2 linked regions of the Rattus norvegicus genome follow. The protein of the gene in region 1 interacts with the protein of each later gene in a biochemical or structural test. Links are inferred from orthologs where the notes say so. Each region holds a gene or a part of one and is shown on either strand. Other genes may lie near its edges. The genes, in order: Creb1 and Rps6ka5.

Region 1 (3,826 bases):
GCCCTGGGTTCGGTCCCCAGCTCCGAAAAAAAGAACCAAAAAAAAAAAAACTAGAGACAGACTCTCATTTAGATGCACCTTATCTAGTTCTAAGCTCCTTGTCTGGGTCTTCACAGAGCCTTCTATTGACTGCTGATGAAGAAGCACAATAGCTACTATCTGGCAAATGAAAATCACTCAGCACTCATCCAAGTCAACCTTACACAACAGTGCAAAGAAAAAGTTACTTGAAAGGTAAGTTCTTATCTTGTTTGAAATACATGATCTTTGGATACTGGAACTGAAAAATATGATTGACTCCTCAGATAAATCCAAGGATCAAGTTTTCAAAAAAAAAAAAAAACCTAAAAATTATAATTTTACCTGAGCAATTTCATAAATTGTGTGTGTGTGTGTGTGTGTGTGTGTGTGTTGGTGTGCACGCGCATATGATGGGCAAGTGCTGAGAATCAAACCTTCACACATGGTAGGAATACACCCTGTCAACTGAGGTTTGTTCCCAGCTCTTCATAATGGATTATAATTGCATTAAAAGGAAAGTTAAAAAAAAAATGTGGTACCAATGTACCTAATTAAGTTATTGTATAACAGAAGTAAATTAATTTAGGATTATCGGTGACCTCTGGGTAATTATACTATCCTGAGTGGTATGCGCACAGAAAATGGATAATTCACTGTTCAATCAAGAGCTATGAGTTCATGACTATTAGTCACTTTATCAAGGTGATAAATTTGTGGAAATTAACATACTAGCATATATAATGCTATGTTAGCTAATTCCAGATTTTACTATCTTAGATGTTAAAAAATGTCTATGAATTATTCTACGATTAACTTTGTAAGATTACTTGGAAAGGTCTGGAGATAGGGCTGCTCTCTCAGAGAACTTAGGTTCTATTCCCAGCATCAACAGGGAGGCTCACAGCCATGAGCAACTAGTTCTAGGGGACAGGACACCCTCTTCTGGCCTTTGCTGGTACTGCACACATCTGGTGCACAAAAACATCCATACACATAAAATAAAAATACACGAAGAGGGTCGGGGAACAAGGACTTTTAAAGAATCATAAGGTTATCAAAATCAAATCTTCATTTCTCCTGGAGTTAATTTGCAAATTCAAGTGTATTTAATTAACATTCTACTTTTTCTTGATTACACAGCAACAACCTCAAAGTGAATGGAAGGAAAAGATATGGGCTACTCTGTTAAGATCATTTGATTTTGTTATTTTTCCTGGAAATCTAAAAACATCTGCTCTTATGTAACAGATATAGTTGTTTTAAACAGTAAGGTCTCACACACACACACACACGACAATTCTTTGAAAATAAAAGTCTCATCTAAGATTTAAACATTTTTAACTGTGTAATATTTATTTGTACACTTGATTACTTTAAAAGTATAAGATAGTTCTGACAAAACCAAATTCATTAAAATAAATTCATTATCTCTAGGTATAATTAAATTGCTACCAAGAAATATGAACAAAGAAATATAATTATGTTAAATTTTAACTTAAATAATCTAAATACAATTAAATTGTAATAGCTGAGATTCTGTAAAGGACAGCTTTTGGAAAAAAGCAGAATGAAAAAGGAGGGATGAATACAAGTAGGAAAGAATGAGAAAGAGGTTTACACAGGACTGCAGAGATGACTTAAGAGGTTAAGAGCACTGACTACTCTTCCAAAAGACCCAAATTCAATTCCCAGCACCCACGTGGTGGCTAACAGCCACCTGTAACTTCAGTTTCAGGGGATCCAATGCTCTCTTCTAACCTTTACAGGCACCACATACATGTGCTGTTGATATACAATGCAAGCAAAGCACTCATACACATAAAACAAAAAAATTTTTTTTTAAATAAACAAGTTACAAAATAAGCAGTTTGCCATACATGTGAGTATTCAGTACTTTGTTTCTTAGTGGAAAAGAAAAGTCAAGAACATAATGCTAAATCACTTTCATCAAAGGCACACATGCATGTACAAAAGGATGGTATATAAGGTGAATAAAGCTTTAAGAAAACTCAAAGTACTAGTACGTTTAAACTGAAGCATCTAAGGGAATGGTAGGCAATCCATTCATCCTCCTCATCAGCTCCTGTGTGTCTTTCTTTCCTAATTCAAGCGAAACTCCCTAAGTAGTGAATTAGGACAGGGATAGGTTATACCCTCCGTGTGTTCATGCTGGAGGAGAAGTCTTGTACAATATCAGAGAAGAACCATCTTGAACACTTAAAATAATCTGGGTATGAAGCTATGTAAACACACACATACAGACACAGAGCCAGGCCAGGGTGGGGAAGATGTACCCCTTTACAGCTACCAATAGTTTAAGGAAAAAAGTCCATCTAAGTTTATTTAGCTCAGTTATCACAGACAGTAAAGACAATTTATCAAGAACACCACCCCTAGTGTTCAGACAGATGACCTAGTGGTTAAGAACGCTTAATCCTCTTGTAGAGGACTTAGGCTTGGTTCTTGGCACCCACATTAGGTGGCTCACAATTGTCTGTCACTCTATCTCCACAGGATCTGATCCAAAGGCTTCCCAGAACTGCTGCACACATGTGATGCATATAAACCCATGCAGGCACACACACACTCATAAATAAAACTAGCAAATATTAAAAAATTACCCTTCTTTATAAATAATACCAAAAGTTTCCGTGTTGGAAAAACTAAAAATTTTGCTTTAGGAATCCACTTTAAATACAGCTGGAATACAAATTACAGGCTGGCAAGCCAACACCATGCTAAAATTAAAAATAGTAATTTGTGTGTGAATCATGTAAGAAACATGGTGGAAGGCAGGAATGGGTAAAAGAAAAAAGAGAGTGACATTCCCATAAATGCCTTTTAACAATTCTTCAATAATGTCTGACAGTAGGGCAAACAATATTGCCAGCAAAAGCTTTGGCATTTATCATTTCCTTAAAGAGAACCTAACAGTTTTCCTTCTCACTTTTCATAATAGAAAAACGTATTACTCACTATACTGCCCACTGCTAGTTTGGTAAATCGGGGTTGGCACTGTTACAGTGGTGATGGCAGGGGCTGAAGTCTCTTCTTCTGATTTTTCTTCTTCAATCCTTGGCACCCCTGGTGCATCAGAAGATAAGTCATTCAAAATTTTCCTAGAAAAATAAGGAGCTATTTTAATTAAAAAAAAGTCACTAAGTACAAATTAAGATTAGAAACTGCTAATGTATAGGACAAAAATTCAAACACATGAATAAACTCCAAACAAAGTAGGAACTTTAAATGCAAGAATTGCGTGATGGTAATGGGGGTGGTGGTGGTGGATAATAAATAAAACTACATATGTTTTGTTTTTTTTTATCTTATGCGCTAGGGTGTTTTATTTGTACATGTTTAGTGCCTGCAGAATCCAAAGGAGGACACTGTATATCGTATGACTAGAGTTACAGATGGCTGTGAGATGCTGTATGTGTCCTGGGGATTGAATTTGAATCTTTTAGAAGACCCATCTCCCTCTACCCACTCCAAGCCGTGTGTGTGTGTGTGTGTGTGTGTGTGTGTGTGTGTCCCCGAGACAGGGTTTCTCTGTGTGGTCCTGGTATCTTGAAACTCACCCTGTCACTCTATTTAGATCAGGCTGGCCACAAACTCAAGAGATCTGCCTACCTCTGCTTCCTAAGTGCCAAGATTAAAGGCATGCATCGCCACCACCTGGCTTATTTTGGTTTTTAAGAAGGTGTCTTATTATGAATCTCAGGAAAATCACAATCCTCCTGCATTAGCCTCCCCAGTACTAGGATTACAGTTACACACCTTGCATGCCTGGTTCTCTCTATATATA
Region 2 (3,826 bases), on another chromosome or scaffold:
TTTTGGGAAAGGTTCTTTATCAGATACAAGATACTCTGCCTATTGAACTGTGTCATGGTTGGTCCTCTCTGGCCACGGAAGTGCCTGTAGTGTGGATTGCCCTGGCTATCCAGAGAGCGCCTCTTGCCTATCCCACGGCACTGGAGAACATGCCCAACTGTGTGTAGGTGTTTGTTGGGAAACTAGTAAATGTCCAAGCTCGCACAGAGTGATCACATGTCACTAATCACTCTGGCTTATCACATCATCCTTCCACTGGGCTTATTATTTTCCAAAACTCAATTTTAAGTTTAGTTATTCTGAAAACATGGAATGCAAATTTAATAATTGATAAATTAAAGATGAACTTTTATGAAACTTGTTATTTTTTTAGTTTCAAATAATTCTTGGGCTGCTTTATTTGATGGTTTTTTTTTTTTTTTGAGGTCAGTTGAGTTATAAAAGAATATTACCAGCAATGCAAAGGCTTACAGGCTTGTCAGGTTTGGGGATGGAATAGGGAGGAAGTCTCTGTCTTTCCTTTGAGTTGGGCTATTTCTGCCAGAAGATGGCATTATCTCCTTCAGAAAAGCACTCGCTATTGAGTCGATGCTGTGTTTTGAATAAAATAAAATTATCTTCTTCTGAACACTTTTTTTCTATGAAAAGAAATGGTCACCATCTAGACTGCCCAGCTGTGAGACTGCAGACCTCTGTTCTTTAGCCTCCCTTCTCTTTTTAGGGCTACTCCTTCGTTGCTCCTTCCATCCTCTTCAAGCGTAACGCGGCGGTCATAGATCCCCTTCAGTTCCATATGGGAGTAGACCGCCCTGGAGTGACAAACGTTGCCAGGAGCGCAATGATGAAGGTACCTAGGGGTGGCTGCCTCAGTGTGGATCTGTGGTTTGTGTGGATTTTAAACACTCAATGATGTTCTTAAGTCCAGAAAATTTACTAGATTATCATCCAACCAAAGGCAGTTTTATAAAAATGAATAAATACATGGAAATAGCAGTGTTTTCCCTAGAAGATTGTCAATCTCAATGTATACGAGTTCCTTTTACCATGATAAAGGACAGCATATTTGGGACAAATGTAAGGAACATATAAATATACTAAGTGAGTTCTAATGGTTCAGTATATTGCATTCAAATTTGTTAATCATTTCACATTAAATTGCAGCTTTACATATGCTTTGTGTATTACTACCAACCTTTTATTAAATTAAATGGTGTTGATCTTTCGTCAGGACTCACCATTCTACCAACACTATGACCTAGATCTGAAGGACAAACCTTTGGGAGAAGGAAGTTTTTCAATCTGTCGGAAGTGTGTACACAAAAAAACTAACCAAGCCTTTGCCGTCAAAATAATCAGCAAAAGGTATGGCCAGTCCTAGCAGTCTTTCTTGGGGCTTTATACTACTTGGGGTTCTGGAGAAGGAAATCAGCTGTTTCCCTTGCAAGGCTGTTTACACACAGGCTTGGCTATTTACTATGTTAGCTGATCTCCAGCACCTCTAGCACCAATGTTTTCTGATGAGTCAAACAGTTTTGGACAAATCAGAATCTGTTGTGTTCTATGTGAAAACTGTCTTGCGGTAATGAAATATTTAATCAGATTTGCTTGGTGACTTCTATTAGTTGAATGTTTGAAGTCAAAAGTATTCAACAAGCTTCCTGATGGCTTTGAGAACAGAGCCTGCTAGCTGTTCTGGTACTGGGTTATTACCATTGCTAAATTGTCAGCAGGAAGAACATACATTTCTTTGTATGACTAGCTCTCTTCTGATGAAGAGGGAGTCATTTTCTTTTTAAAAAGTTTTACTTTCCTGGTGGGTGGTATGCTTATTACTTTCGTGGATATGTCATTTTGAGACTTTGACACAAGTATTCTGAGTGCACTGTAAATAAAAACAGGGAGGGAGCACTGCTGCAGACTCTGCTGGAAGAGACATAGAAATGTTGACTATTTGACCTTGCAGGATGGAAGCCAATACTCAGAAAGAAATAACAGCTCTGAAACTCTGCGAAGGCCACCCCAATGTTGTGAAGCTGCATGAAGTTTTTCATGACCAGGTATTTCATGGCTTCCCTCTGTCCATGTACATGGGCTAGACCATATACAGGGTTCAGCTTCTTACCAGTTTTATTGGTGCTGCTGAGTGAAACTCAGGGACTATCACCCAGCCTCAGGGAAGAGGAGAAAAGGTAGCTCACACACTCTCACCCCTGAATCATTGCATCCTGTTCCTTCACCTTGCCTCCCTAGGTTGCCATATTGGCATGGGTGGATGCCAGAGGGGAAGAGCCCAATAAGCCACTGTCACAGATTTCAGAGTGCTTATTGTGAGTGAGGCTGCCATCTCCCTCACTTAACTATGCATAGTCAGTACTTGGTGACTTTAAGCCTTCAACATTCCTTACATTTCTAGCATCAAACAGACTGACTCTTAAGCCCACTTGCTGCAAGTTAAGGACAAATGGGAAGCAGAAAGACAAAAATGCTCCCTTTCATCTTGTTCCAGGTGTCAGCATCTGCTCAACCTCCAGGCCAGGTTGTTGTATGTTCTCTTCTACCCTTAGCTCTGCTTCTCAACAGAAGTCTTACACAGAAGCCTGTCACTTGGACAGATAGAAATATCGGTGGTCCACAGCACCTCTCAGCTCCCTGCATTGTCACCTCCCATGCCTGAAATTGTGCTATTTCAGTATTCTTTTCTCTGACAGTGGACAGGTATCACAGCCTTCTCAGGACTTCAGCTTGTTACCCTTCTATGCCTATCTATTAAGGCACAAATGTGAAAACAAGTCCTGAACGTGTTTTTTCCTTCTTCTAATTTTAACAACAAAGGACCTGAGATTCCTAAAAGTCTTGAGACTTTTTCCAGCATCCGTAGTCAGTGAAAATCTAGAAAGAACCTCTTCCAGACTCACATCATTCTGTTGATGTGACATTCTTGACTAGAGTAGCTTTGGGGACTCGGTTCTGAGTACCATAACTAAGAGTAACATCATGGTGATATCAGGTGGCAGCAGGAACACATTGTCATTATAATCTTTTGCTGTATTATCTTAGTCCTTGCCTTAACACTGTAATGTCAGAAAACAACCCATAGAAGTTCAGCTTGTTAATGGTAAGGCTGGTATCTAAGCCCCACCATTCCAACTTCAGACCCTAACAAGCTTTTAACTACTTTGCTCTGCTCTATTAGAGGAGGCAGGTACACAGTCGGGTTATTATGTCAGATAACAAACATCTAAAAATGGTATCATCTTCTCCTTCCTCTGGTTCTCATGAGAAGAGAAGCTATTGAAGCAAGAACTCTTGAGAATGCTCTCCTTGCCTTCTACCTTGTTGACCTACTCAGATTCTCATGGGAGCAGTGAATCCCCTGTCCATTTGAGGTGCATGCTAAAAGACAGCGTCCTGTTGATGCAGATACAGAGAAAACTCACCTATCAAGAAACTGATGGATGACCTCAGACACCCCACCTGTAGTTTTGCAGCTGTGATCCTCACTGAATCTCAGCCCAAACACTGGATCTTGGAACTTCTGACTAGTATCATGGCTCAAGAATTCTATACCTAGCTTTTAAATTTATGTTAAAAGCTTATTTTTGGCAATTTTTAAATTTCAGACTCCTTGGAATAGGAATTTTCTTATGATCTAATGCTACATGTAGTAGTATAAATATAATAATAATTCTGCTATTCACTTGTTGAAATATGTCTTGAGAGTTTTGCCCATGGTAGTTGATCCTAATATCTATGCAGTCCTATTTCCAACTAGTTTGATGAGAACAAGGGTGGCTCTTCAGCCTTTGGCTGTACAATAAGCCAGCTC

What was found.
Region 2: of the proteins of Creb1 (region 1) and Rps6ka5, one has a biochemical effect on the other in vitro, tested with the Homo sapiens proteins (3 studies listed by BioGRID, with this or other methods). The link is inferred for Rattus norvegicus from reciprocal best matches to the Homo sapiens genes CREB1 and RPS6KA5.

The regions. Positions count from the first base shown.
Region 1 is NC_086027.1:73,432,156-73,435,981, reverse strand, and holds part of Creb1 (cyclic AMP-responsive element-binding protein 1), read right to left. Parts: exon of another isoform or gene 3,141-3,826; coding exon 2,998-3,140; exon of another isoform or gene 137-2,997; coding exon of another isoform or gene 117-136; intron 1-116.
Region 2 is NC_086024.1:125,575,014-125,578,839, reverse strand, and holds part of Rps6ka5 (ribosomal protein S6 kinase alpha-5), read left to right. Parts: intron 1-721; coding exon 722-847; intron 848-1,228; coding exon 1,229-1,362; intron 1,363-1,963; coding exon 1,964-2,057; intron 2,058-3,283; coding exon of another isoform or gene 3,284-3,295; exon of another isoform or gene 3,296-3,826. UniProt on the Homo sapiens protein: Serine/threonine-protein kinase that is required for the mitogen or stress-induced phosphorylation of the transcription factors CREB1 and ATF1 and for the regulation of the transcription factors RELA, STAT3 and ETV1/ER81, and that contributes to gene activation by histone phosphorylation and functions in the regulation of inflammatory genes.